Diceros bicornis minor: one gene and its partners. The protein of the gene in region 1 interacts with the protein of each later gene in a biochemical or structural test. Links are inferred from orthologs where the notes say so. Each region holds a gene or a part of one and is shown in the gene's direction. Other genes may lie near its edges.

Evidence for each region. The genes of interacting proteins can lie anywhere in the genome.
Region 2: the proteins of SNTB1 (region 1) and TANC1 interact in a test that uses a peptide from one of them, tested with the Homo sapiens proteins (2 studies listed by IntAct, with this or other methods). The link is inferred for Diceros bicornis minor from reciprocal best matches to the Homo sapiens genes SNTB1 and TANC1.
Region 3: the proteins of SNTB1 (region 1) and SLC16A7 interact in a test that uses a peptide from one of them, tested with the Homo sapiens proteins (2 studies listed by IntAct, with this or other methods). The link is inferred for Diceros bicornis minor from reciprocal best matches to the Homo sapiens genes SNTB1 and SLC16A7.
Region 4: the proteins of SNTB1 (region 1) and ASNSD1 interact in a test that uses a peptide from one of them, tested with the Homo sapiens proteins (2 studies listed by IntAct, with this or other methods). The link is inferred for Diceros bicornis minor from reciprocal best matches to the Homo sapiens genes SNTB1 and ASNSD1.

Annotation. Positions count from the first base shown.
Region 1 is NC_080760.1:36,701,960-36,709,541, reverse strand, and holds the start of SNTB1 (beta-1-syntrophin), read left to right. Parts: upstream 1-4,580; 5' UTR 4,581-4,613; intron 4,614-4,787; 5' UTR 4,788-5,012; coding exon 5,013-5,580; intron 5,581-7,582. UniProt on the Homo sapiens protein: Adapter protein that binds to and probably organizes the subcellular localization of a variety of membrane proteins. May link various receptors to the actin cytoskeleton and the dystrophin glycoprotein complex.
Region 2 is NC_080749.1:41,661,461-41,669,203, forward strand, and holds the start of TANC1 (protein TANC1), read left to right. Parts: upstream 1-4,741; 5' UTR 4,742-4,870; intron 4,871-5,549; exon of another isoform or gene 5,550-6,019; intron 6,020-6,057; exon of another isoform or gene 6,058-6,083; intron 6,084-7,743. UniProt on the Homo sapiens protein: May be a scaffold component in the postsynaptic density.
Region 3 is NC_080756.1:9,737,104-9,745,070, reverse strand, and holds the start of SLC16A7 (monocarboxylate transporter 2), read left to right. Parts: upstream 1-4,965; 5' UTR 4,966-5,104; intron 5,105-7,967. UniProt on the Homo sapiens protein: Proton-coupled monocarboxylate symporter. Catalyzes the rapid transport across the plasma membrane of monocarboxylates such as L-lactate, pyruvate and ketone bodies, acetoacetate, beta-hydroxybutyrate and acetate.
Region 4 is NC_080749.1:68,668,135-68,675,501, forward strand, and holds the start of ASNSD1 (asparagine synthetase domain-containing protein 1), read left to right. Parts: upstream 1-4,365; coding exon 4,366-5,826; intron 5,827-6,389; coding exon 6,390-6,571; intron 6,572-7,367. Other genes in the region: ASDURF (ASNSD1 upstream open reading frame protein), read left to right, coding at 657-746, 2,280-2,333, 3,581-3,656, 4,274-4,344.

The DNA of each region.
Region 1 (7,582 bases):
ACCTATCACTGTACAGTTTTAAAAAAGGATCAAATGCATAATCCCTTAGGAAAAGTCACTTAAATTTATATCATAGATACTAAAAGACTGGTGTAAGGTTTGTTTCAACAACAGTAGTTATGGAAGGGAAGTAAAAGAAGTGGAACTCTATAAGAGAAGGTGGAAGATAAACATCTAAGTACTTTAAATTCTGCCTTGGGCTAGTCCTGCTCCCCACTACAACATTCTAAGCACAGTGAGCACTCAAAGAACTCTCACCCGACTGACTGGATGGCTGATAGTCTGGGTGGTAGTCTACCTACTTTACCAAGGATCCGCCCAGGCAAATGCCACGTACTTGCAATAGAAGTTGTTTGCAAACCCACTTAAAATTGATGATGCACCTGTTAGCCAAGTGGGAAACCCCAGAGAAGCAGCTGCTCAGCCTCTGTTCCTGTGCCATCCTCCTGTCTCAGGGCTTCATCTTTCAAATCAGAATCGCTAACCCAACATTATGATTTGCAATTAAAGGCTGGCTACCTCCACGCATTTCACGCTCAGCATTGCAGCCGCCACATTGTCGCCATGTGCTCTTTGTGTACATATCTGTCTTCCTGTCTTAATTACCTTTGCATCTTTGGATGGGCCTGCCCCCAGCACCTGCCTCAGTTACTTAGAAGAGTAGCTACTCAATAAGCGTTTAGTCAATACATATTCACATAGGTATGCCTCATCTTAGGAGTTTTGCATTTCAAGCCCCCCTCTTGCTCCTCTCTTCTTCTGTTCTCTCATTCTCCCCCAGATATCAAGGAGCTTTCCATTTTTCTCTTCTTCACTATTGCCCTTGTATCCACTCTCCATCTTGTATATGGACTAATCCCCCTAAAGATGCTCAACCTACTCTTTAGGGAACAGTACCAAAAATACAATCCTCATATTTTCCAAATCTAAATATTGGAGCATGTGTTCTAACCAGTAGAAGTTTACTCAGTAGCTAATAGGAAGTAATATTGAAACAAGACTGCCCCTGACAATCCAAAATGTATGGTTGTTGAAGCTCAAAGAGGACAAGGAGAATGGTCTGTGTTGTAATCCTCCACGGCTGCGCCTTGTGATTTGGTCCAGCCTATCTCTCTGATCTCCCCTCCTACCTCTCTCTGCCTCCCATGGGCTGCCCCAGCCACGGCGACCCCTTTTTGGTCCCTTGAACTAGACAAGCTTGGTCCTCTCTTAAGTGCTTTGCACTGGCTCTTCCTTCTTCCTGGAACCCTCTTCCCTAGATCTTTGCAAGACTCTCATCTTCTTATCATCCATGTCTCAGCCCAAAATTTACCTTCTCACAGAGGCTTTCCTTAACAGCTGCCACCTCCAGATGTCCCTTGCCCCTAGTTACTCTTGACCCTATGACTCTGTTTTATTTTCTTCCTAGTACTTACTTCTCCACAAAGTATCTTATGTTCACAGTTTTTCTCCACCTCAACCTACCATCCATTACAATGGAAGCATCACAGAGCACATTTTTGCCAGTTTGTCCGCTCCCATACCCCAGCACCTAGAACAGTGCCTGAGACACGGTAGGTGCACAACAAAGCTGTGGAATGAATGGATGGACACTGCCCCTTCTGTCGCATGTGGCGGCTCACTCACGTATCCTCAGCTCTGTGGAGCTGAGAACTGTGTGATCGGCTCTTGTAGTTTTAAGTCCACCCAAACCTCTGTAGGGAAATGCACCTCCCACAGGAAAGGGGCACACACAGGAGGATCCCAGTTTTGGCTGAGTAGGAAACGGAAGTCAAAAGTGTAGGACAGAAGGAGGAAACAGAACCAGAGACAGAGCTAAGCAAAAGAAATGTGGTTAAAAAAAAAAAAAAAAAAAGTAAGGGCCCCTTCAGGTGGAAAGGCTAGAATACTGAAATTGGACTGGTAGTCACCATGACCCAGTTGAGAACTTTGCCACAAACTCACTATGTGGCCTTGGGTTCGTCATTGCTCTACTCTGGGTTTGAAATGCCACACTTATAAAATGAGGAAGCTGCAAGTCTTTTTGGTCCTTTCCAGTGACCATTCTTTAAAAGGAGAGCCCTAGGAAAATATGATCTGTCCTATTGTAAGTGTTAAGGGGCTATAGTGCAGTAGTCCCAATTCCCACCAAGAACTAAGAAAGGAGGTAAGTAAGGTTTACCTCTGAGAGTCAGCGTTACCAATCAGAGGTCAGATATGCGGAGTTCTCTGAGGGATAAGACAGGGTCTCTAGGCCAGCAAGACCACAACAGTCACCTGTTTAAACATATTAATGTGTCTAAAGAAAAAAATTGTGTCCATTAGGGGAGAGCAGAGTGTTCTCTAACCTTGGAAAGAAGGAGAGGCCAGAGGCAAGGGCTGGCTCTACACTTCTAGTGCCGTCTAGGGGAAGGGTCTTCACTCTCTGGGCTTCCCTCCCAGTGGAAAGGCTGGCCTCGGTGTAAGATGAACACTTTAGCTTATAGGTTCTGAGTATGTTCAGGAGAGTGTAGGACAATAGTTAAAAGTCCAAACTCTTCAAAACTGGCGTCAAATCTCGACTCTTCCATTCACTAGCTACATGACCAGGGCAAGTTATTAAACCTGTATCTCTATTTTTTCACCTGTGAGATGGGACTGATGATAACAGTAAGTATCCCCAAGAATTGCTGGAGGAATTAAGTTAATATATGTATAGCACTTAGAATAGGGGCTTTATTATAATTTCATTGGCAAAGTCATCTCTGGCTAGCATGCATGCCTCGGGCCTAATGATGTTAAATATTTGTTTCTCCTCCTTCTGATGTCATTTTCAACAAGCAACCTACTCCTTCTTGTGTAGGTTTGCTTACACAGAAAAAATGTGCTTATCACAGAGATTCTGAGAAATCCGCATCCCAGAGCCTGCAATATCTCATGGCCAATCGATAAATTACTTCCAGTTATGCCTGGGCCTCCCACATTGCTTGACCACAGAAGCAAGATGCAGGCATGATGTGAATGGAGGATTTTGGCCCAGGGGCAGATCTGTTTTGATTTCCAAATCAACACACTGGTTTTCTGGTGCTTATCTCTACCTTAGTGTGCTTGGGTTAGAATGCAGACACTCAGGCTCTGATTTTCCTGATGAGCCATATGCCCGAGTCCTCAGTCCTTAAAGCAGAGGGCAGTCCCAGCTGGTTTTCCCACCCCACAGTGGTGCCACCTGTATCAGCTCCCTGTCCAGTCCTGCACACAGCGGCTGCTGTCCCTGCCGTGGGTAACTTTATGTGAAAGAACAAAGAGCTTTTGGAAAACTAGTGGGTTAAAAATATAGGAAAGGAGGATGATACAAGCAGAAGCATTAATCCAAGAGTTCCTGCTGACCTGCCAGCAGTGACTTTTCCTTGACAAAAAAAAAAAAAGTCCAAATATTTTCATTTTATTCTGTGACCCTACCTGGAACACCAACCACCCTTTAGGGATTTGTCTGCATTTTAAGCATTCTCAGTTAAAAGTGTGAGTCATTCTGGAAGGGTTAGAGATCTCTCAGAGATGATACACATCAGTGGGAATGTGTTCAAATAAGATTTCCTTCTTCCTGACACCTTGCTGGATTGGGTTTACCTCTAAGAATTCGAAGATTTGTGAGTTTTGTTTTGTTTTGTTTTTGGAGAGAAGAAAGAGAGAGATGGAAAGGGGAGGTAAATGAGAAGGCTGAAACACTTAGAGAGGTCCATGAGACCTGCTCAGGGTGGGGGGAGAAATTGAGAGGTTCAAGGACCAGGTGGACCGTGGGAGGTTCAGCTATGACATGGGTTAGGTTGGCATTTCCGGATTGGCCTGGGAAGGTAACCAACGATTATAATATTGTTGCCCTGGAAAAATGCAGCTTGAACTCCCGATACATAACTTGTAAAGGAACTTTTGAGATACAATCCATGTAACTGAGTTCTTAAATAGTGGACTTCCTATATCAGATCTTGGGAAGAAAGAGAAAGTCCCAGGAAGCATTTGGTGTGGCATTGGGGAAAAAAGGTCAGAAGCATAGAGCACATAATGTGTTGGAGCTGGAAGAACATTTGTCCCTGGGGTGTGGGCCAGGCAGTGAGCTGCTGAATACCCCGGCCAGCAGAGACACCTCTCCAGAGACCCCGCAGAAAGATGTCTTGCATTTGAAGACAGGAAGTTTCGGGCACTCGGGTTATGCTGACGTTTCATTCTGGGTTCTTGGGACAGCCTTCCCTCTTGACTCTCAGAGAACCCAGGGCCTCCGTCTGCGTCTACCTGAGAGTCCTCGCGGAAAGGAGAGACAGGTAAGAACTCAGCGGGAGAAGCCAAGCCTTGGTAGTGAGGAGACCTGGATCTAGATACAGTTGGGGGTTAGGACTGAGGGACAATTCAGTGGAGGGTATGAAAGGGATGGGGGATCAGGAGCATCGAGTGAGGGGATCAAGGCAGGACACACAGACCAGGCAAAGGTGAGGTGCGGGCGCCCGCGGAAAAGGGAGAGTCGAGACGAGAGGGCTGGGGCGGGGTGGAGAGAAGGCGCTGGGAAGCTGTCCCTGCAGCGCCGTGCGCTCGGAGGAGGGAGGCGGGGTGGGTCTGGGGCGGCGTGCGGCGTGTGACAGCCGAGGCTGCGGCGGCTGGAACAGGTGAGCGGCCGCCGGGTGGCGGGTCCCCGCCCTTCCCCGCGACGTGCCTCCTCCTACCGACTCTCCCCGGCGCTTAGCTCTTCCGCGGCTCCCCTTGGTTTGGGGTTTTGCAACTGGCAGCTGGCTTTTTTTTTTTTCCCCGTCCCCTGTTTCTGTCTCTCCTTCTTCTTTTAGGTTGCTCCACCCCGCCCAGGATCAGGCGAGGGGGAACCGGCTTGGCTGCGGCTGCCAACTCGCGCCGAGCGCGTCTGCGAACTCCCGGAGTGGAGTCCCACGTCCTGCCTCCTGCCCGCGGGGCGCGCGCTCCTCGCTCCCCCAGGGCCCGCGTCCTCCCCGCGCAACCCTTCCCCACTTTTCCCCCCTTTTGCAATCACATGGCATTTTAAGAATGCCGGAAAGATGGCGGTAGCGGCGGCGGCGGCGGCAGGGCCGGTCGGCGGGGGAGGCGGCCGCGCGCAGCGGAGCGGGCTGCTGGAAGTTTTGGTGCGGGATCGCTGGCACAAAGTTCTGGTGAACTTGAGCGAGGACGCCCTGGTTTTGAGCTGCGAGGAGGGCGCTGCGGCGTACAACGGCATCGGGACCGCCACCAATGGCTCGTTCTGCAAGGGCGCCGGCAGCGGGCACCCGGGCGCGGGCGGCGCGCAGCCCCCGGACTCGCCCGCCGGGGTCCGCACCGCCTTCACCGACCTCCCGGAGCAGGTGCCCGAGTCCATCTCAAACCAGAAGCGTGGCGTGAAGGTGCTGAAGCAGGAGCTGGGCGGGCTGGGCATCAGCATCAAGGGGGGCAAGGAGAACAAGATGCCCATCCTTATCAGCAAGATCTTCAAGGGGCTGGCGGCCGATCAGACCCAAGCCCTGTACGTGGGCGACGCCATCCTGTCGGTGAACGGAGCCGACCTGCGGGACGCCACCCACGACGAGGCGGTGCAGGCGCTGAAGCGCGCTGGCAAGGAAGTGCTGCTGGAAGGTAAGGGGTTAATGCCGCGCGGGCCGCGCCGGGCGCGCACACACCCTCTCGCCCTCCCGCCGCACTCTCACACTCACCCACGTGCCTCACACCCCAGGGGGCCGGGAGTGGGGGCGGCCTGGAGTTTTGACAACTTTTACCCACCTGGGGGCAACTTGTCCCCACTTAGAGTCGTTACTGGCTTTGATCCAGTAGGGTGTATGAAAAGGCTAGGCGAGCAGGGATTCTTGAGCTCCTATGTGCCAAGCACGGTTTGCATGCTTAGTGCACGTTGTCTCATTTTTATCCGCGGATAATCCAAGTGTCGTGTAGGGGCTGGGAAGTGGAACTGAAAATGAAGAGTAGACGTCCACGTTACGAAGCGAGCACACTGAGTAACCGCAACTCGGATAGTTTTCTGCTTTGGCATAATTTTCTCCAAAGAAGCCCGGGCAACTCAACTAAAAGGGTTGAAACATAAAGGGGCCGGAGAGCGCTGGCAGTGTTTGAAGGCTAAAGCTCCGACCACCCTTCAAGACTTCCCTCCTTTCAGATTGGAAGCTGGGGTGATGGCTGGGGAGTTGTGCCACGGGCTGGGAAGTTTATGCAGACGTTCACTTCTGCTGCCAGGTTTTAGGCCCGTCAGTCTGGATTCCAGGTTGCGCTGGGTGGAGGGCTGGTGAAGTGATTTCTCTGCCAGAGTTTTCCGGGGATTCTTCCCGAGTGGTGTGGAAACAACTTTGCATTTGTAAACAGTTTCCCTGTGTGTGAGGCATCTTAGAAACTACTCTCTTGAGATCTGATGTCCCCAATCCCCTAATTACTGCGTGTGAGTAGAATAGGTAGCATCGTTTGTACCCTCTCGTGGTTATGTGTGGTTATTTCCGGAGAAGGTCAGTGGGGAAGTTGTGGGTAATGCCTTCTTTCCACTGCAGCTGTATTTCTCTCTTGATATCTGTCTCTCTGCCCCTTAGCTCACTTTGTACAAAACTCTGTCAGCACTAATATCATGTAATTATTTCATCTTCCCTCTAACTGTAGACTGAGTTCTGGGGTCTTTTATTTGCTTATGGGTCCTCTCCATTGAGCTTAGGTGCTCAGTGACATGCATGCTGAGTGAATGAATAAATGAACCCATAGCCATTGAAACAATGTTTCGACAGAGACCCTTGTAAACTGGTGGTTGATTTAGGTCCCTAAATTAAGGACTTAAATCAATTTCCTGCTCAACAGTTGTGCTGGCTGTGAAACTGAGAAAATTCAAAGTTGGGAAACCAGCTTTGTTACATATGACAGCTGATGCAACTGTCTGGTACATGATGGCCCACCTCCTGGCCTAGAATACAGAGGATTTTCTCCCCCTTATTGGTCTAGAGGATTTGCGATGTCTTCATATTTAATTGCTACCCTGGATCCAGAAAGTGGCAAGCTATTTGCTTTGGCTTATGATTAATATAAGTAAACATAAAAAAGTTTTTTTGACTCAAGTGTGTGTTGGATTGTGTGACAAGGGGCAGGTGGGATCTGGAGCAAGTGTAGTTTGGACTATAAACTACTGGGCACCTGCACAGCTTCAATATTTACTGTAAAATATCAGGGGGATGAAAGGCAGGTCATTTTTATTTCAGGCACTGCCCTTCATTATGTGCCTTTTTTCCCTTCTTCTCCTTGGTTTCAATTTGATGAATAATGACTTAGCAAAGAGGTGAAAAATATCTCTCACCCAAAAAAGAGGAAGAAAAGATGACTCCCTGCAGTTGAAAATAAACTTAAAGAAAAATAAAATCAAGCAGTTATGTGAGTATTGATGCAGCAACTGAAAAGTGAGTTTTGTAAACGTCTAACATGTCATTCTCACAACACGTTGTCATGTGTTGTAAGCAGGACATCTGGGAAAGACCTGTGGGCCTCCTAGACATGAAGCACCTGGGCTTACCTTATCCCCATCCTGAGTTTTCAGAAATCCACTGCTATTAAGAGAAGCAAGCATCGGCCCCATTCAAAAGAGTGTCTCATATTCTGA
Region 2 (7,743 bases), on another chromosome or scaffold:
TATTTTTCTTCAGATAAATATGCAACTGCAAAGGAGTTCTGACTAGTGCTTGGTCTTACAGAAAATATTTATGTGGGTTCAAGCTCATAATCTCATTAGTGTTTATCAGCACTAATTCACTGAATTGAAAGAATGGTTAGTAATTAAGAATGTAAGTCAGATTGTAGTGGCACTCGCAAAGAATCTCAGCAAGAATCTTTTTAAATTTAAAGGAAACATTTCCTTTAAATCAATATATTGATATATTATGTATTTAAGAATTTCCATGTGTTGATTTGCATAAAATGAGGTACACTTGTATATATACTACAATTTTCCTGCTTTAACACTAACACAGGAGGAAAACATAACTCTGCAAATGGCTCCTGACTGCTACTGTTTAAGACAAGAACTACCAATTTACCCCCAGATGAGCCTCGGAGAGCTTAATTGGAGTTATTATCTACCACTAAATCATCTTTAAGGTACTCTTCCTTACCCATTTGGCAAATGGGGACATGCTGGACTGCTCTGATCAAGCCTTTAGGTTGTTTTTCCAACTACAGTGGTCCCAGGTAATTGGGAGGGAAAAACATAGCTTATTCTCTGTTAAATAAAAGTTAGCTTTTGTAGAGCATTTTCTAATTTATTAAGTGCTTTTCACCCTATTTTATTCAATCTTGCCGACAAGTCTGTGAGGCACAGATTCTACGCTATCCTCCTTATTTCATCGATGAGGAACCCGAGGCTCACAAAGGCTAAATGAATTGCCAGGAATCACAAACAATAGCTGCCCAAGCCAGAACTGAAGTCTAGATATTATGACTGCAATGTCAGGGCCTTTTTATACAACTTGCTGAGAAGGGGGAAAGCACCACTCCCAAGGTGGAAGATATTAAAATACCTTTGTTATACTCAAAGTTAACAGCACATTTCTTTTTAAGCCATCTTAACCAGATTCAACAACATTTATTGGAGGGATTACCACCTGATTGCCTTACTTCACCCTTCCTGAACTTGGGAAATTTCTATTTCCCCCTATAGACCATTTCACCATCAGAAGATTGGACTAAATCTATATATATAATGTTAGTCAGATGGCATGCCATCTTAAACCAGATTCTCCCAGGATTTTAGTTACTTCTATATTCTTATAAAGAAATGTGAACCCCTGAATCTATCTCCCTACTTTCTTCCCTCAGTGGATTCCTTATCAGTTTAAATAATTAACTGCCTACGGCCTATTGGATGAGTTTCTACAATGTTGGCAGGCCACGTGCTAGACCTGCAGAGGGGTTTATATGTCCCATTAGATGACTTAATTTAACTGACTGGCTAACTGTGCACAACTATGGCTTTCAATATCCCGGGACGAGTGTCTGCCATTAGCTCACATCTGACCATGGTGTTGGCACACGTGTGTGACCACGGATTGTTACACATGCAGGAACTATGGAGGGGTATGTCATTTCATTGCTTTTCCCAACTGATTTCCAACTATGACCCAACTTATTTCATTATTCCCATGTCTTTAAAAATTCTTTTTCTCCCTAAAATGTTAAAAAGGAAAGCAAGAATGAACAGACCAAAGGAGAATGAATTCTGTAAACATCCAAAGATACTCCCAAGTAGGCAAAAAGCGTTGGTGGGCTAAATTATTTTGAGTCTGGGTTTCCTACCTTGCCTTACTTTTTTTTAGTCCTGTCTCAGTTTTTGTATTTAATTACTACACTGTTTTAAACATTTCAGTTCTCACTCTGTATTCCATACTACACATACCATAATAAACACTGGCTATGATCCTAACTTAGACTTGATTTAAAATAGAAGTACTTAAGAATCTGAGCAAGGGAAAAAAGCATACTAACACTCACAAGGCACATTCTTTCCTCACACCTTCCTCAGCTTATTGCCCTGGGGAGTAAATTGTATGGTAAAATAACCAGTTTATTATTTGCTGTTTTCTTTTACTCTGCTGAGAAAAATCTCCATCGCTGGCAAACTGATAGAAAATTTAAAAATGGAAGCCAGTATCTGGTATGTATGTTTGGTGAACATGTTTAATATATGATATTCATGTGATCTATATTTCTTTTTTTTTTTCAGCTGGAATCAACAGAAATGTAATGAGTGAGCTTTTTAAACTGGATGGGATAAGCAGAAATACCCTAAGAAAAGCAAGAATGATTCTTGCTCTCCCCTCCCTCTAAAAGTACAAATCATCACCTGACAACTAACTGAAAATATTTTTTTATTTTTTTAAGGGAAAAGCAGATTTTTTTTTTATTGATGTTTTAATGGTTTCTAACATTGTGAAATTTTGGGTTGTACATTTTTGTTTGTCTAGAAAAGCAGATTTTTTAAAAGCATTAAAATGCATTTTCTGAACCTATGCTCAGCGAATACTTTACATATTTAGCTTAGAAAATGTTTAAATTTTCTTCTGACAGAAGGTCTTAATGGATCCTCTTTTTTTTCCCTCACCCATGAATTTTTATTACTGTGTTTTTGGCCTTGTCTTCTATAAAATGTACCATTTTCACTTACAGCTTAAGACAGCTTTGATGGTCTTAGTATGACATACTGTATGTAATGTTAGCTGTTTAAAGCTGTAGATCAGATTGTGCATAATAACATATGTAGTTTGGAGTATACAAAGAGTACAGGAAGAAGGGGAGACGGCCATTCTGTGTACAAATTTCAGATTGCTAGCCATGTGCCTGTTTAGAATGTTAAACACTCCTAACTAGGCAGTGATGAAGCTACTTTAGTGACTGTGACTTCTGAAACTACAAAGACACAAATTTTTCAACTAAAAATAATTTAAAGATGATGCTGGTAATTACCATATTTAGTTTAGGTGATTTTCTATTTGCTACTTAGGGAGCTTTGAGGATGGATGGAAAAAAATTAATTTCATTGTCTTCAAAGCCCAGTTTAACTCAGCAATTTCATCAAAAACTTGGAGAATATAGCCAGACAGAAGAAGGTGATATAAATTGTAAATTTCATCCATTACACATTTCACCCTTATAAAGAAGTCTGAGGCAGGGAAGTGTACCAGTCTATTTCCCTAGGATTATTTCTTTTATATCTTAATATTTCAGATTAGTCAGACTACTGTGGGGGTTTTTTCTTTTGTTTGTGTCATCTTTTTCATCATTAAGGTTGCTGTCTTTTTCATCTGTTGTTGAAAGACTGGTAACTTGCATGTATTTCATTTCAAAAGAAATTAAATAAAACATATTACCATATTTTTCAGCAATGAGATATTTCAAAGTGAAGAGAGAAGTCAATAGCTTTGCTGGTTTAATAACTTTATGTTTCATTTTAAATATTCATATCCTGCTTTGTTTCAGAAAGATTTCAAGGCTGTTGATATGTTTATTGCTCAAATATCAGCACAGTAATAATCAGACCTTTGAAACTATGGGTGAAAAATCCAGCAAATTTCAGTCATCTTTTATTTATGTAGAGAGATTGTGTGGCATTTTGCTTCCTGTCTCTTTTCATAAGAACTTTAAATATGGACACACTTCTCTCTGGGTATCTTTATAGTATTGGGAAACTCTGCATGAGGTTGAAGTTTTTATGGGAGAACTTGTTTAAAACAGTTGTCTTTAGAGGCGGGTTAGCCACAGCAAGGTTAGGGGTTGCCAATAAATCCGTTTATAGCAACTTCTGTATTCTCTGCTCCAGACACACCATTGGGGTGACCCCGGCACAATTCTCGCAGGCCGCACAAGGCAGCAGTCCGAGTTGATCCTTCTGTGACCAAGGCTGGTCTAAAGGGCTTCTGGTGTGGAGTGGCTGAGCCTCCCAGCCTGAATTGGCTGCCTGGGATTCCTGGCGGGTGCTGGCATACCCAGGACTCTTGAATCTGTAGGCCCTATCTCGGCTTTCGCTCTGCTGGGGAACAACAAAACATTTTGGGAACTCGGGAATTTAATTTACTGCTACCAACCGAAACAATAATAGCATCTTTGTGTCCCCCTCCCGCCCCATACCTCCCTCCTCCTGCCAATAGAAGCAAGACGTTGGCCCTCCGTGGATGGAGCACAGACAACACAGGGCCAGCCCAGAGCGGTCGGAGGAGGCTGCAGACACCGGGCCCCGGGGACGCCCGGGCAATCACCGGTCCCGGAACGTCCCTAATTCGCTTTCGGGAAAGAAAATTAACAGGAGGCGAGATGTCCCGTACAACTTTCATCTCTCTTAGCTCATTCTTGCCCTAGAAAGTGAGTGTGTTTGTGTGTGTGTGTATGTAGCTAAGTGAGGCAGAGAGAATTCGAGAAAGCCACACAAGTCACCCTAAAGCATCCACCAAAACTTCAGCTTGGTTAATTGCTCCCATATGTCCTCCTCGGCTGTTTTCAAAACGCAGCAAGGAGGGCAGGCCGGGTCACTTCACTGATTTTTAAGGAGATTGAAAAAAAGACTATCACCTATCATGACCCAGTCCCGGAGGGGGCCAGGCGCAGCCTCGGGAGACTAGCCCCCTTGAGGGAAGCCGGGGAGCCGGCCCAGAGATGTGGGGCGGGGAGGCGCTGCGCCCGCGCCCCGCGGAAAGTTCGCGCGCCGCGCCCCAGCGGGTCCCGAGAGCCGACGCAGCCCGGGGCGGGGAGGGGCGGCCCGGTCGGGCGCGCGAGAGGAAGGTGCCTTCGGGAACACGCGCAAGGGCGGGGATTCGCGCTGCCAATGAGGCCCGGGTGTGGGCCGTGCGAGGCGGGGGGACGGGCCGGAGCGCAGCTTTCGCTGTGGCAGCTGCCGGAGCAGCGGCCGCCTCGGGAGCCGGAGGAGAGGCAGCCGCAGAGCGCCGAGCTGGCCGTGCCCGGAGGCCCGGCCCTGGGGGTGGGGAACCGCGCCGAGGAGCTGGAAACTTTCCCGGCAGGTAACTCCCGCCGCCCTGGCGCAGCCGCGAGCCTCCGTGCGTCCCGGGCAGGGCCAGCTGCAGCGGTGCAGAGGGGAGGAGAGGGTCCCAGGGAGGAGGAGAGGGTGATGGGGAGAGTGGAAAGGCATGTGGGAAAGTTTCTGGAGCCTCCCTCCCCGCCTTCGCTGGGCACACCCGGGAGCTTTCCGGGGATAGGCACGGACATGTTGGGCGCCCTGGGCCTTGGTCCCGGCGGCTCTGGAGAATCAGCGCCTTCCCTTCGCCGTCCCCTTCGCTACGGACCGAGCGGGTCTCCGGCGGAGCTGGGGTTCGGGGACACCGGGAACGCGCAGCGGCACGCTCGAGTTTCGGGATAGCCTCTGCCCGGCGCACCTCCTCGCCCCTTTTCCCGCTTTCTCTGTAGCTCTCTGGCTTAGCAAGGGCCTGGGCTGCGCCTGGCACCTGGAGCGGGGGAGGCGGGGGAGAGGCGCGCCTGGTACCGGGGGACCGGGGCGCCCCCGGAGTGAAGGGGAGCGCGGGTCGCGAAGTTGCCGAGTGAAATTAAGCCGGAGGGAGGGGTGCCGTATTGCCCCATTCTGGGCTGAAAGTCTGTTGCTTCGCTTCCAAGCACACTGCGATTAGCTTATCCACGTTCTTTTGGGGGGGGGTGAGCTAGGATTAGACATTGAGGGGGAGCTGAGAAAGACAAGAATTGTATCAAGACTATGAATCCCCTTGTTCTTGGAGAGTGGAGGGGGTCACTTTTGGGGGACTTATGTCAGGGCGCACGTTCTTCATGGAAGATTTTGGGGTGCGGACACGCAGCGCTGGGGGCGTGTGAGGCTCCTGGCTTTGGCCCGGCAGCTTTCCGGAACGGCTGGCGCGGAAGGAAGCCCTAGGCATTGTGTGGCATGTTTGCGCACAGAAACGTCTCTGGACCGGCGTTCTCAAAACTTATTTGACTTATTGTGTAAAGCTCCGGGAGGAAATGCGGCAGAGGCCAGGTAGAAATACGGCGCCGCATCCAGGGGTTCGGAGGACGCCGAGCTGGGCGACAGTCTTCCTCTCACAAACGCCTCCAGCCCACTCTTAGCAGCCTCAGATCCCGGTGCCTCGTGGGATGGGACTCGTCTCGGTAGCGCTGTTTCCTGCTGGAGTCAACTCGAGGAGGTTAGGAGGGCAGCTTCATCTTGAACTTGACCCTCGAAGCAGCGCCGTGTGGGCGGGTTACAAGGTAAAGGGAAGTTGAGTCTACTCAACGCGGGATGGGCCTCGAACTCTGGCACGGAAAGGAAGTGCCTGGTTCAGAATCCTTGAGGAAAGGGCTTAGGACTGCTGAGGTCGCTAACTCTGGAACTGCCAGACCACCAGACTGCAGAAGTTAATGTGTTTGGAGGGTGTGGGGATGGGAGAGGAAAGGAGAAACCTGGTGTGGTGGTGCAGACAGTTGGTATTTCTCTGTAGTGGAAGTGAAGGGAGTCTGCATTTCTGCCTTCACCGGATCCGCTACTCTCTCTCTCTTTTTTTTTCCTTCCTGGGTCATCTTGATTCCTGCCAGGCTGGCACTCCTGGGATGGGAGAGGGGAAGGAGAAGAAAGCCGTTGTGGAGCGTCTCTGGCCAGCTTGGAGGTCTTTCAGATCTGCTGCTAGGAAGATTCCTGGATTTTAACAGCTGCTTCTTGATTGCTGAGAATGAAAGAATTTATGAGCGACTGAGAGATGTTCATTATAGTGGTAGTCTGAATGTTGTACTCATCTAAGCTACTTAAAGATCTCAAGGGACCTTCCCTTAGAGTATGGCAGTTTCTGCAAAGTTTGTGTCAGCCAGAATGCTTGGTGGGTGTCAGTCAGAACTCATCGTAAATATATCCTGGCGGTATGAAGATGAAAAGTATGCCGGAGTAAAGGAAATATGGTATCTAACATCCTTCAGGACTTCCTCCTAGGGTTGCTCCTGTTACCTGCCAAGTGAACTCGGTCCAGCCTTCCGGACTGTTGTGATTTGACAATAAGGGATGGGAAATAGTGTCATCGATTTTACTGGAGGCAGGAAAGTCCAGAAATAAATTTAAGGTCAGTTTTCATGACCCTTTCTTTCAGCTGTGATGCCACAGACTTAACTTTTGCTGGGACTTGGAGGCAGTGGTTTTCCTGCTTTCTTGGTTTAACCACCAGAATGTCCAGATTATCATAATTTATGTCCGTTGTGAAACTAAAACGTAACTGATTCAGTCAGCCTTTTTCTGCTTCCCATAACAGCCTGTAGGGAAAAGAACATTTTGTCTCTTTAACCACACGCAATTTATTTGGTGCCATAGTGGGTTTTTGATACTGGGTGATTGAGGGCACAATTTTAAGGACAATGAAATTGTCTCAATTAAATTATCCATTTTTAGGCAACATCTCCCTCCGAGTTGCCGATTAATTCTTTATCTCCCAGGGAACATTAAAACCAGTATCCCTGGGTTGGTAGAACTGTAATCCATATTATAATGATGCCTGCCAGCATAGCTGGAGGTTGATGTTATGTTGAAGTTTCCATTAGACATTTCTAACCCCATTGTAAAGGTTTTGTCTGGGTTGGGTTGAAAGTAGGCTGTCTCAGTCAGAGAAATGGCTTTATTTTTATATTTCTGATGAAAAGTTTAGGTTAAGTTGTAAGTTACAGGAGTAAAGTTTACAAAAACAAAGGAGATGGGTAGGTAGATAGGTAGGTAGATATGTATGTATATTGCTAGGGAGGGATTTGTTTTAGTCCCTAGGATAGCTTTGTTTTGAACTAACTTTTAAACGCATATTTCAGTGATGGGAAAACTAGAACCTCCCCCCAACCTCCCATAAGTACGAATGTGTTTCTGTACAAGGCTTTTAAGGCTTTCTGGGCCTTGGTTTTC
Region 3 (7,967 bases), on another chromosome or scaffold:
AAATTCTGGTGGACCAAGGGCAAAAAACACAAAATCAATAAATCTTAGGTGATCACCTACATTGCTCGCCCAAAGCACAGGGCTAAAGAGCAGAGGCACAGTCCATCCAAAGGCATGGATTTGAAACTTCCATCAGATTTCACGTAACAGATCTCATATAGATATTGCTTGGGAAAAAATTTATAAGAAGTGATAATTCAAGGTCACAATCAACAAAATCCCAGAAGAATTAACTAACATTAAGAAACCATTATATAGCAAAACAGCATATAACAAATATGCAGTTTGGGTCAACTCGTGGCAGATGGAAAGCAGAAAAAGAGCTCATGAATGGAAAACAAAAGGTCAATATGGCCTTAACTTTAGCCAAAGAAACAAAGTAAGAACAGCTGAAAACCTAGCTTCCTGAAAGGAGGTAGTCGAGAGTATTTTAGCCTGAAAGTCTCTTGTGACCGATGACGCATTATGTAAATGCAAACAATGACTAACCCTTCAAGGACATTGCAGGCACGTGGCAAGGTATACAAAGTTACAAGTTAAGCAGGTAACTTTATGGTTGCATTTTATAAAGCATCCTGATCAACACTGCTGTCCAAAATATGATAAGTAAACATTTATTTTTGGTTAATTAGGGGAAAAAACTCCACCATATATAAATATTTTCTTCCTTTGTTAAGATTATGCATAATCTCTGTGGATATTTGTACCCTTGAAGTGCTTGCAAGTACCATCAAGTTTTAGAAAGTTAAGCGACCCACCTTAGATCAAATGTATAGGAAAACACACTGAAACCTAGGTTCCTTGGCCATATTCAGTCATCACTGATTCATTTAATAAAATTCATTAAATATTAAATACTTATAAGCCACTATTTACAAGATTCCTGCCACAAAAATTTACAGTTGATTATGAAAACTTTTAATCCCATTTTCTAATTTGATATGTTTTCAGAAAAATTAGAAAATTCAGATGAAGGCATCTATAAGACACTTATAATTAGAATCCATTAAGCTTACTTTATGGATAACATTAAATAAAATGTAAAATTAGAAAAATACCAGTGGACAGGAGTTTAAATGCAGAAATCCATTGAGAGATTTTTGGAGCCCCAAAAGTCATTTATTTTGACATAAGAACTCTCTGGGCTATTGTATAGTTATTGAAAGGCTCACCATACAGCAACGTCCAACATGGTTTTCCTTTTTTATTCTTTGTAAAATGAGACTAGGTTTGCATTCTCCACAATGCTACAGGAGGCTTCCATAGCAGACATTTCCAAAGTAGCCTATATGGATGTACTCAAGATGTAAATCTACAAGCAGTGGAAAGATGCCTTTCATATTTTGTACTTTCTATTAAACCAGGTCAGAGCAATCATATTCACAGCTGCCAGCCAGCTTCAATCTCAGTCACAGTATGCTGCCACTGGATGGCAGGTGCACGTCTGTTTTCACTCAGCCTGAGGAGAATATTGGGACATTTGATCTTTTGTCCTTAGTTAAAACCAATCTATTGTGTGTAGTTTACACACACAACACACACAGCCCTACTTTAATTTCACAGTCTTGCCATGAAAAGTCTGTTATATATCAATTTTGGATTGTAAGAATATATATTTTAGCCTTGACTTAAGAACACATTATAGCATTCTCATAAGCTCAATGTTTCATTGGGTCTTTATGCCATTATGATTTATACTCTTATTAAATAACATCTTGTATTGGTCAGAATAAGCTAGGCTATGTTCTCACGACAAATAAAGCCGAAATCTCAATGGCTCAACACAATAATGGTTTCTTGCTCACACAAAGGCCAGCGCACGTGAAGCAGACTTTCTGTATCTTTTAGCGACTCCATTTTATAGCTACTCTGTCTGAAACATGAGGCTATTAGAGCAGGGAAAGGCGAGAAGGAAAGAGGCACACTGACTCTTAACTCGCTTTGCCCAGAAAGGACATATGTCACTTTCATTCATACTCTAGTAATTAGAACTAGTCATACGGCCCCAATATAACTGTAAGAGAAGCCAGGAAACATAGCGTCATGCAGATCATGGATCTTGTGAGCACCAACAGCCTCTACTACATATCCGTTGCCTAAAGTCATGCAATCATCTCTTTCCTCCATTTGGCAAACGTTATTGATTATCTTATATCTGCAAGAATTTGTGCTGGATGCTGGAAGATTACAGAGATGAATAAAATGACATCTCTACCCTCCAACACCCTAAAAGGTAGGGAGACAGAAAAAAAATAACATAGCCATACTGTGAAGCAGAAAGAAAATGCCCCCAATAGAGGCATACACCATGGTCTATGGGAAAGACCACAGAAGGAGATGGAATTAATTCTTACTGAAGGAATTTTTGAAATGCTACAGAGGTGATGATACATTTGCTGGGCCTAAAAGGAAAAAAGGTTTAGATAAGTTTGATATGGAAAAGAGGATGAGGAATGAGAAAAGACAGAAAAATATGAGAAGATATGGCATGGTGGAGGAATGGAGGTCCAGAGAACCCGGAATATGAGGCTGTGGGTGTAAAGTTTGGGCTTTATTTGTTTGTATGTTATTGATGTGTTCAGTTGTTTACTCATTTGCGGAATGTGAGTTGCTAGAATATTGAGTATATTGCTATTCTTTGTTTCTCCCATTGTTATTTCACCTTATGAATAGAAACCTAGGCAAAATTTTACCCAAAGCATTTCAAGTTCTAATCATACAGTTTCCTTTTTCCCTAAATTGTATTTCTGAACAATATTAAGACTATAAGTTATAGGAAAAATTGACTGGACTTATTCCCATCTAATTCTCCTTTCAGATTTCTTTCTAATCTAACCAAATATTTATATGGTATGCCTGGCCATAGCAACAAGGCAATTTAGAAATGAATCCCCAAATACTAACACTGGGGCAGTAGGTAAATTGGATTCAGAGTTTTACTGTTGGAAAAACAAGATTTAAAAAGAAAACTTGCCATGGTTATGACATAATGCTATGGGTAGTAATGTTGAGGAGTATGGCAATGGGTTAAATAGGCCTTGAACATGAGGCTGTAAAAAATACAGGACAAAAAAGAACAATCAAAGAGAAGCAAAAGGGAGAATAGGGTCAAAATTCAGGAAATACATGGTCTTTCTTCTTCCTTCTCTTCTTTGAAAGGAAGTAAAAGTGATGAATGAGCAGGAAAACTATCAATAGCAAACACTTAAGAACATGACCTTGAAATGTGTGTCTTAATATTGTTTCTTTTTAAAATTCAACATTCTTTTTGTAATGTAAATGCAGTGTTTATAGTCACTGCTAGATATTCCATCATTATCAAATGCCTATTATATCTTATTCAAATGTCAATTTACACATTTTTAGCTTTAAAAAAGTCTAAAGTCCTTTCTAGAATGTTCTGCCTTTGTTTCTTAGTTTTCAAACTACCCCTCTCTGTAAAATTGTCTTCCAAACTTTTTCAAGTCACTAATAATAGTCACTGTTTATTCATCTCATATTATCTACCATCCACCTCACTATATCATCTCACCTAAATGTTATGACAGCAGTAAAAAGTTCATATTATTTTGAGTTTGTGGCTGCAGAAACTAAAATTTAAGTTTTGTCCAAGGTTACAGATTATTTAGCCAAGTGATTAACTTGTCCATTTCCAAATTCGTAAATCGTGAATAATTTAATAGAGTCATTGTATTAATTGAGATAATCCATATTAAGTACTTAGAACAGTGCCTGACAATGATAAACATTTAATAAATAAGTATAATTATTATTATTACTATTATTACCATGATTCTTTGTCCCTTGGACATCAAAACTCCAGTTATTTCAACTAAATTATCTTGGCTTCTTGTAAATGATTTAAGTTGTAGAATAAACATGAAAAGCTTTTAGGAAGTTATATTATTATATAGGATTAACATCACATTTTACCTTTTTCACTTTTTTAGGAGCAGAAATTGGGGGGGGGGATTCAGTTAAAATGACAAAAAACCTGCAATATCAATTCTCAAATCCAAGCCCAGGATTATTCTTCTGGACTGTTTCTTTTTCTCTAAGTAGTAATTAAACTTCAAGACATCAAAGGAACTTAGCCTAAAAATTCATTCTCAGGCCTTCCTCTTTCCAACTTCCCCAAGAAACATGTTCTGGACAGAGAAGAAAAAAAATAAAGGTAGAAGAAACCAAATCAATGACTGTAGAACTACCATTATCCCTAGCACTGCTCATTGTGAAATAACTAAACCCCATTTTGAAGAAGTAAATAATTTGAGAAACTAAAAATGAAAGGAATCATTTACAAATGACTTTCATTTCTTTCCTATTTTCAAGGTCTTCTTGTGCTATTTTCTATACTCCCCCTCTCACGATGTAAATTTTATTTTTCCCTTAGAATGATTTGGTTGGTGAATCCCATCTCCAACACTGCCATCCCCCCTCTCCCTGGCCCCTCAAAACCGCCTCAATTGAGAAATGGCCCGACACGTTCCCTCCAAGCTCACAATGAGAATCTGCTGATCTCCCTGCACTCTGCCGGGCCCCTCTCCTTTCGCCTGCTTCCCTCTCCCAGAGGTCGCAGACCTCCCTGGGGTGTCTAAACAGAGCTGCTGCACACCTGGCTCCCGGGTTAAGCGCCAAAGCGCTTCGGATGCGGCGTGTCGCGACCGCTCTCTCCCCCCGACTTTCGGCTTTCCGTCTTGCTCAAAACTAAAACCCGAAGTGGAGTGCCCCGAGCCACAGAGCCAGTGTCTCCAGCGTTGACAGTCGCTCGGAGCATGCTCAGTCCGCCCGGAGTCCCTGGGCGGCGGCTGTCCCCCGCGCCCCCGCCCCCGCGGGCGCCGGGCTCCCGCAAAGCCGCGGCCGCCGCCCCCGCCCCCGCCCCGCCCCGCTCGAGCCCCCCCCCGGCGCCCGGGCACCCACAAGGGCGCTCGCCAGCCGCGCCTCCCCGCCCCGCCGCCGCCTCCTCCTCCGGTTGCGGCGGGCGAGGACACGTCAGGGGACATAAATAAATAAATAATTCCATTCACCCGGTGACGGCGCGGCGCACCGGCTGCAGCCAGTTGGGAACGGAGACCCGCAGCGCCCGCCCCGTGCCGGGGACCAGGTAAAGTCGGTCTCCCCGGGGGCGCGGGAGGCGCCGGCGGAGGGCCCGGCGAGCGCGCGTCTGCCACCCGAGCCGCCCCACGCGCGTGTAACAACACGGGCCAGCCTGGGGCCGGCGCGCCAGCGAGCCCTTATATAGACAAAAACCCCCGAGCTGCCGCCGCAGCAGAGCGCGCGTCACCGGCGCGCGGACAGCGGCGGCGGGGGGCCCCCGAGGGTCCCGGCGGGGAGCGCCCCGCGCCGCCACGTGCGTTCGGCAAGGAGGTGCCCGCGCTCTGGGCTTCTGCAGCAACACTCTGCGCGCGGGGCTCCCGCCTCTCCCTGGCGCACGAGTGCGCTGCTCGCCAGCATCCCGCCCCGGGCCCGCGAGCACCCAGGGGTGGCCTCGTTGCCGCAGGAGGTGGGGACGGGGCGTGGTGGTGAGAGCGTGTGTAGGGAGCATCTTCTCTTTTAGCAGATGGTCGGGGCGCGGAGAGACGGGGAGGAAAGGAAGACATACTACGGGGGTCGTCTTCGTTTTTTTTCAGTCCCTAGGTAGCATGGCGGGGACGGAGACAGATGGAAAGATGTGTGCGGGCGAGGCCTGCGCCCGGGCAGAGGGGAGCGTGAGTGGACAGGGGCCGAGGAGGGCCTGCGCCTCCCGGGTTCATTCTGGGCTCCCGCGCTGGGGCCGCCCGGTCAGGTAGCGCGGCAGGCTGGCGAGGCGGCTCACGTGCGCTCGGCCCCCGCTCAGCGGATGCTGCTCTGTGGCTGCTCTCTCCACTCTCTTTTCTCCCTGACTTCCGCGAAAGGGCTTGCTGACTGCCTTGGCAAGGGCGGTCGTGACCAAGGCCATTTTCCTGGTAGGGCTGGCAAGGGAAATTTGTGGTCTACTCCAGGGATATTAAAATTACACACGCACACCCCAGAGGAGAGGAAATGAGGAGCGGTTTCTCGGCAAGTGACTCCGCCTCCCCTTACTGGAGAAGTAGTACTGAGTGGGCTGAGTTAAGTGAAGGAGGGCTGGTGGTAGTAGAAAAAGCTAGTATTTCGTGTCCTCCTCCCTCCCGGGGTCCAATAAGAGGCGCAGCAGAGTCATAAAATCGTGGGCAGTCATGGGGGTGATGTGAAAAAGACCGTCCGGGAGGACAGTGGGCCCCAGATGCTCTTTCCTGGCACCCTATGCTTTATGGCTCAACGCAGACTGGGAGCTCAACAGGGCTGCAGACTTGCAGCAGACACATTCGCTTGAATGTGCTGTGTCGGTGGAACCCAAGTACTAAATGTGCATTTGGGAGAGTGTGGCTGAAAAAGAAGAGCTGGGTGGTGGCTGCAGAGAGTGGATAAAGGTTGAACAGGGTGACCCTGATTTAGCCCCGGTGAAGCAATCCTAACCCCACTTTCTGCTTCTGAGCACACTGCATTTCAAACAATCTAAGTGAGTGGAGACCCAATGATCTCAGTCAAAGGGAAAGATGATTACGTTAAGCAACTCACTGTGTTATGTAACAACTCATCAAGTCAGAAACTTTTTTGCAAAAATCACATCAACAGTTTGCAATTACCTACTGCTTTTTCCCCCAGGGGGTGTTTTAATAATGGCAAGTGATCTGAAATTTTAACATCCGTTTCCAGATGTCCAAGTTAGTACATCTTCTGATAAATGCTCAGTTTATTCCTAGACATGCGTTTACTCTTTTATAATATCTGACTTATATTTTTGGTCTTGAGCTCTCCTTCCCTTCAGGAGGGCAAAGTGAGCTAACGAGGTATCTGTAACGCAGAGTCATATTCCTGGATTTCGGATCTGAAATAAAAGAAAGTCTGTCTTTGCTTTTACTTCTATATTCATTCACCAGACATTTTTTGAGACATTCAAATGGAAAAAGGTAATTAATGTTAGAGTTAGACCTAGATTTCAAGATCACTTCTGCACTTTTGTTGAGTAATTAGGTTAAAGTAAAAAGGTTGAGTAATTAACAATCTCATATTCAGTTTTTCTTATCCATGAAAAGGGATTGGTGGTATCTACCCTGAAGTGCTATCATGAGAATAAAGTATATGGAAAGCACCTAAAATATAGACTAGCTATTTTTGAACTCTTAAAATCATTCCAGCCATTGCTCTGTGGTTACCAAGATGAATGAGGTTGGAATTCTGCTCTCAAAAAATTCACATCTAGTCATCCAGGTTAATCTTCTTTTCCTACTTGCTTTCAGTCAGTTTCTCAATGGAAGAGACATATGTCACAAATAACTAGAAGGGGATGTAGCAGTTATAAGAATGTTCGCAAGATCTGTTAAAAGGCAAATTTGAGAAGAGTACCTTGTCTCAGAAACCTGTGCATTCAGCCTGGTTCTTTTGCCCATGGAGGATTTTCTTCCTGCCATGAGGGGAGGACACCCTTTCCCTGAAGATCATCTTTGCCAATAAATTGATTTCCATTTTTTGAGAGAATAAACTGTGCTGCCGTTTCTTCTACACTTTGGACAGACTATAATCCACTCACTCCAAGAAGACCAAGAGTGCAGTAACTGTAACCACATCTCTATAATGCTCACGGCGCTCCAGGCCCTGTGCTGCAACTTTCTGTGTATTAACTCCTTTTATTCCCCTAACAACCCTGTGAGGTAGGTCTGTCGATATCTGTCGATATCCACATTTGCAGAAGAGGGATTTACTCACAGAGAATTAAGTAATTTGCCCAGATTGCACAACTGGAGAGTGGCTGAGCTGGGGCAGGCAGACACTCAGGCCGACTTTCTGGCTTTAACCACTCGGTAGTACAGCTTTTGCCTGGCATGAAGCTGGATGAGGGCAGGGGCTTTGTCTTGTTCCCTGTTCCCAGTGCAGTGCCCGAGATGTGATAGTTCTGAACAACTGAT
Region 4 (7,367 bases), on another chromosome or scaffold:
AGTCTTGGATAATTTTTCTCATTGGAGCGAGATTCTGAAAATATTGCAAGGGACATACTTATACTAAAAAATCATTCATTTATCTGAAATTCATATTTAACCGGGCATTCTGTATTTATCTTTTAACTCCAATAACAAGTTAACAAAAACTTCACCAAGTCTGTACAGTTCTGTTGCCAAAAACGTGTCTCTTAAATCTGTGCCTAGCTTCACATCCTTGCCTAGATAATAAATATTGTCTAGTTCTACTGCGCTTCTATTCTTTATATTGACCACTGGGGGGCGCATATAACTCACAGTCTACAGAACGCGAGGGAGTGGAGACCACAAGGCCGTTTCCACAGCCGATCCGCTAGCGGACAGTTCAGGAACCTCTCCGATTTCACAACCAGGCTCTGCTCACGCGCTCCCTAAGCATCTGTGCGCACGCGCGGAACTGCTCCCACGCCAAACCCGGACTGCGCAGGCGTTCCAGTGAGTGCGCAGAAGCTATTGGTAGGACTCATAGGGAAGGAAACGAGGGGGTGGAGCCGCTGGGAGCGCGCACGCGCGGAGGCTGGGGGCTGAGGGCTGGAGGCTGGAGGCTGGAGGCACCTGGGGAGGCACCTGGGGCGCCAGCTGCGCTGCGCGTCCCGCGTACCGTTCCCTCGGTGGAGATGCCTAGCCGGGGCACACGCCCGGAGGACGGCGCCGGGCTGGTCCCTACCGACGACTCAGCCCCTCACAAAGAGGATCTTAGCAACAAGGTGAGTGTGGGACGAGGCGAGCGGCCCGCAGGCTCGGGACGGAGCGCCGCTCAGCCCCGGGGGAGGTCTGCCGCGGCCGCGTGGCCCGCTCTCGGCTTTGCCCAGCTGCTTCTCTCTTGTTATTCTTAGCGTTCGACAGCTACAATTAAGGCAGACCCTGAAGTTTGCACCGAAATTAGACCCAGGAGGCAGTGAGGCGGAGATTTGGTTGGGGTTTTTTCTCTTTATTTAAACTTTTAGAAATACTGCCCACCCCAGATCTGCCGCCGATGTTCTCTATCTCAGAAAAGTCACCGCCAACCATCCAGTTGTCCGTGCCAGTAACCCGGGAACCATCCTTGACGTCCATCGCGAAGTCCTGTCAGTTCTGCTTCTGAAGCTCATTTCAAATATGTCCGTTTATCACCAGCCACCTTCATCTACCCTGCAAAGGCTTCCTAACTGGTCTCGCTTCGTCCATCATTACCTTCCATTCTCTTCTCCACATCAGCCAGAGCAATGATCCTAAAACACGGATTTGATTGTCACTCCTCCATCCAAAAAGGGGGCAGGAGGTGGGGACAATATAATATATATCTTAACTGCCATAAACAGACAAAACCTTTAAAAAATATATAGGAGATGGGGATGGTTATAGCTTTTCAGGTGTTAGATGTCCTAGATTCTACTTTGGTTCTGTCCCAAACTAACAGTGACATCTTGGGCAAGTCTCTAATAACCCCCCCCAAGGGTGAATTTTCAAACCTCATACAGCCCACTCTGATTACTACCAGAGCAAGCCACTTATACTGATGTATGACAGATGCCTGAGGTTCCTGAGGTAGGACAAAGATTTTATAAAACCTGCTTTTAGAGGCAATAGTGATACTATGTAATCAGTCATGTTCACAGAATAACTACCTTTACTGAAAAGAGTTAGAAAAAAAACTTTGTTTCCACTTAGTGGAGCCCTCTCCTATTTCGAGGCCTAGTTCAACAGTGCCAGCATTGTGTTAGTCTTTGAGATATAAAGAGGAATAAAGCAAAGATGGAAAGTGATAGGTCTTACTGCCCCAGGTAGGGCATTTAGTACCACTTGCTTGTTCTGAATGTCTGGCTGCACCATTTATACATAAATCATGAAAACCATTGGTATTGGGGGGGCGAGTAACTCACCCCTCATTCCATTTGCTGGGTTTTTTTCTTTTTTTAAAGCTAAAACATAAATCATTGAAAAACTGGTATTACTTTGTGTGCATATTGTGTAACTAAAAGGTATAAACCTTGTTTAGTAACTACCGCCCTTGCCTGGATGCTGGTTACCAACACCAAACTCCCTGGCTGGGCTCAATGGGCTAACACTTGGCAAGTCTACTCATTGTTTCCTCCTCCAACTCTGTCTCCCCCTCCTCGCCCCAGACTGCTGTTGACAAGAGTCCGCATAGTCACAGACTGCCCGTTATGGCCCCTATCCCATCTCTCTAATTTTAAAGCACCCTCATTGAGCATACTTTGAGAACCTCTGATTTAAGATGTTTTTCTTTATTTCAATAGATTAAAGAACAAAAAATTGTTGTGGATGAACTTTCTAACCTGAAGAAGAACAGGGTGAGTTATTGGAGTAATTCTGAATAGTATGTGGGAGGGTTTGATTGTATCTTATTAACTATATACAAAAGTTAAAAGAATCATATATGACTTATATTTATATTAAAATTTACAAGATTTCAGCATCTTTTTAGTTAAATTGCAACAGTGAAAAGCATCCAAGATTTTATATATATATCATATATAGATATCTATAGATTAATCATAGTTGATGATATCTTTTCCCCATCATGTGCAATTCACATTACCTTTGAACCAAATGATACAAATTGTACTGTGGTATCTTGGAGCTATAATCAGTAATGTTATTTATTTTATACTTGAATGTGGTATTTTCTTTTGAAATAAGTGAATTTTATGTTGAGAAGAGTGGAGACTATTTCTAAGTGAATGTGGATAATTGTTGGAAAAACAAAAAAGATAAATGCTTCCCCTCCCTGCCAAAAATTTTTACACAGATCTTCCAAATATTTAACATGGTTATTTAATGCTATTTCCATTAATGTATTCATAACAAGCAAGCTACTACTTCATGTGTAGTTATACTATCAAAAATTACATTTTAAAGTTCAGGAAGAAATTATTTTGAGCCCTTTACAGCATTTTAAAGATAATTTGATAACTGACAGGTTAGACATTTCTCATACTGTCACTTGTGGAATATTAGAAGTTAAGGCACAATTAATACAAACTTTCTAGAGGGCAAGTTGGCAGACTGCTTTATTGAAGCTTAAAACTGTGTAACACTTTGACCCAGCAGTTCCATTTATAGGAATTAATACTTAGGAAAGAATCATGGGAGTGCACAAAGATTTAGTTACAAAGACGTTCATCACAACATTGATTTATAATAGTGAAAAGTTGGTGACAACTTAAATGTCTAAAACTTGAGGACGACCAAATAAACTGTAGTATGTTATACTCATATAGTAATGTAAAAGAACACTTACTACTGAGAAAAAGTGTTCTCAATATATTGTTCAGGATAAAAGCAAATTATAAGTCTGTAGTTACAGTAGCCTTTTTTGTTAAAGAGAAATGGTATTGTGGTATATGCAGAGAAAAAGTGTCACCTCAGTGTGAATGGTAGCAGTTTCTAGATGGTAGGATAATGGGTGACTTTTGTTTATTTGTATTTGCTAAGGTATATGTTACTAAAGTTCAAGAATAAGCAATAATAGGGTTCAGAGATTTGACATCTACTTTTTAGATCAAATCATGATATTAGCCTAAATTATGTTTTGCAGAAAGTATATAGGCAGCAACAGAACAGCAACATATTCTTTCTTGCAGACCGAACAGAAATGCTTTCTGAAAGCAAAAGTAAGTTTCTTTGGGATGTTATTTGGAAACACACAGAAAGTCTTTTGTAGGCTTTCTGTAGAAATTTATGGTAGTGCATGAATTATACTATCTATATCTGAATGTTTAACTGTATAGCTAAAGATTGGACGGTGGTATACCTGTTAATAAAATTAATGCGGTGATTTGGTTTTCTTCAAATTAGCCTTCCAAAGATGAGTCTACAGTAAAAATCAATTAAAAATACATAAGATGCATTAGAAAGCAATAATTAACATGTGCTTTAGAGTTTTAGACAGATCTAGTTATGAAAAACTGTTCTACCACTTTCTACCTTTGTGACTTTGAGTGAATTACTTTGAGCTTCCAGAGTCTTGTGGCATTTAAATAAGATGGTATATATAAAGTGCATAGCCCTGCGCCAGGGCCAACAGAAGCATTTAATAAACGGAGACTATTTTCCTAAAAGATAAACATCCATCGTTAGAAGCCTGTTGTAAATTATTATTTACTCTAACACAGTGCATATGCTCAAATGGTTTGGTCTTGGTAAATAGCCTATGGTGCCCTATGAATTACTTGGTAAAGGTCCAAGAATTTTTATTTTACTTAATATTTCTTCTCCCCTCCCCTCACAGATATATTAGATGAGCTGAAAAAAGAATACCAAGAAATAGAAAACTCAGAGAAGACCAAAATCAAGAAATAGTCAACTTGTTTTCACAGAACAATGTGTGGCATTTGTTGTTCTGTATGCTTTTCTGTTGAGCATTTCAGCCAAGATTGGAAAGAGGATTTGCTGTATAATCTTAAACGACGGGGACCCGATAGTAGTAAACAGTTGTTAAAGTCTAATATTAACTACCAGTGTTTATTTTCTGGTCATGTCCTTCACTTAAGAGGTGTGTTGACTGCCCAGCCTGTGGAAGATGAAAGAGGCAACGTGTTGCTGTGGAATGGAGAAGTGTTTAGTGGAATAAAGGTTGAAGCTGAGGAAAACGATACTCAAATAATGTTTGATTATCTTACCTCTTGTAAGAATGAATCTGATATTTTGTCACTCTTCTCAGAAGTCCAAGGTCCTTGGTCTTTTATATATTATCAAGCATCTAGTCATTGTTTATGGTTTGGTAGGGATTTTTTTGGTCGCCGTAGCTTGCTTTGGCATTTTAGTAATTTGGGCAAGAATTTCTGCCTCTCTTCAGTTGGTGCCCAAACATCTGGAGTGGCCAATCAGTGGCAAGAAGTTCCAGCATCTGGAATTTTCAGAATTGATCTCAAGTCTACTGCCATTTCCAAATCTGTGGTTTTAAAAGTGTATCCTTGGAAATATTTTTCTAGAGAGAATGTTACCAAAGAATGTGTTGATAGCCTGACTCAAATTGCAGCAAACTTGCCAACATTCGTGTCAGTGGTAGCAAATGAAGCCAAACTCTATCTTAAAGAACCTGTCGTTCCTTTAAACATGATGTTGCCACAAGCTCCGTTTGAGATTCATTGCAGTAACATTTCCAGCATCCCACCTACAAGAGAGACACTTCAGGTCTTTCTTACCGATGGACACACGAAGGAAGTAGTTCAGCAGTTCATTAATGTCCTGAGTATGGCAGTCAAGAGACGTGTGTTGTGTTTACCTAGAGATGGAAACCTGACACCAAGTGAGGTTTCAAAAACTTGTGATAGAAAAGCAAATGTGGCCATCCTGTTTTCTGGGGGTATTGATTCCATGGTTATTGCAACCCTTGCTGACCGTCATATTCCTTTAGATGAACCAATTGATCTTCTCAATGTGGCTTTCATGACTAAAGAAAAGCCCACACTAAATAGTTTTAACAAGAAAAGTGGAAAGAAGAAAAATCACTGTGAAGTACCTTCTGAAGAATCCTCTAAAAGTGTTGCTGCTGCTGCTGATAGTCCTGATAGACAATTCAGTGTACCGGATCGAATCACAGGAAGAGCGGGACTAAAGGAACTGCAAGCTGCTAACCCTTCCCGGATTTGGAATTTTGTTGAAATTAACGTTTCTCTGGAAGAACTGCAAAAACTCAGAACAACTCAAATATGCCACTTAGTTCAGCCCTTGGATACGGTGTTGGATGATAGTATTGGCTGTGCAGTCTGGTTCGCTTCTAGAGGAGTTGGTTGGTTAGTGACCCAGGATGAAGTGAAATCATATCAGAGCAATGCAAAGGTATGGCACAGTATTTCTGCTTGGAAGAATTTCTGAGACCTAATTTTAACCTTTAAAGCTTTTAGCATTTAAGTTATAAGAATATAGCATATTTTAGTTGCATTTAAACTATAACAATATATATGACTTTAAAAATTGGGCATATTTTACTATTTTATGACTTTGCCTTGTAGTTTTTCTCTGAAAATATTATCTTTGAGATTATGATTTTTTTTTTTTTTTTTTTTTTTTTTGGTGAGGAAGGTCAGCCCTGAGCTAACATCCAATGCCAATCCTCCTCTTTTTGCTGAGGAAGATCAGCCCTGGGCTAACATTCGTGCCCATCTTCCTCTACTTTATATGGGACGCCGCCACAGCATGGCTTGACAAGCGGTGCATCCGTGCACACCCGGTATCCGAACCTGCGAACCCCGGGCCCCCAAAGCAGAGCGCACGCCCTTAACCGCTGTTCCACTAGGCCAGCCCTGAGATTATGATTTTTTAAGCTTTGCTTTTATCTTAGTTATTGTCCTTACTGTGTAATAGAGAATGTTTTTTTATATGGATTTCTTTGAACCTTACAGGTAGTTCTTACTGGAATTGGTGCAGATGAGCAACTTGCAGGTTATTCTCGTCATCGCGTTCGCTTTCAGGCACATGGGCTGGAAGGATTGAATAAGGAAATCGAGATGGAACTGGGTCGAATTTCTTCTAGAAATCTTGGTCGTGATGACAGAGTTATTGGTGATCATGGAAAAGAGGCAAGGTAATTCTAAGTATCTATCTGAGTGTTGCTGGGTAATTCTGTGAAAACAATAGACTCTGAAAGGAGATTTTTAGGTTCCTTTTTTTTTGGAGACTGTTCAAATGAGTAACAGTGGCAACAATAACATCTTGGCTTTTTATTACAAACAGCAGAGTCAGAAGCAAAGCTGGGGAGGAGGTGGAGGAACAGTTTTCTAGAATTCGCTCTCCAAAAACTGTCTTGCCAGTCATTTCCAAAGATGACACGATGACATGATTGCTTTTCAGACTACATGAAAAAGACTATAAAACTGAGGAGGTGAAATACTGAGAGAGGGTATTTAAAGGGTTTTGTTTTGTTTGAAATGTTTGCTTTTCTCCCAATGTGGGCATAGGCCCTACTCCCAAGCTTTCTCCTCCAGTGTTACAAACCTGGTTTTGTCTCTAGAGACATTTCTGTCTATATAGGTCCATACTGACGTAAATGGTGGTTCCAGTACTGGCTTCCCCTCCGTTCAGTGTTTTTTGAACACAGTTTAGTCATATGTACAGATTACCTAACCTTCAAAGAGATCAAGGCATTTTCATTACATGTATTCTTTTTTAATCTCAGAGGTTTATTTTTACCTACAACATATTTCTGATGGTAGTAGACAAGTGCCTGAATACAACTTTTTAAAGCATTAAGGGTAAAGGAAGATGTGTCATTTAGTTATGAAAAGCAGAAATTTGTTCAAGTAGGTGAATTTAGTAAGTGGTAGCTTATTACAAGGCTATACCTGCTCTGAGACGTCACTGCTGCTCGTCTCTGCTTCTGT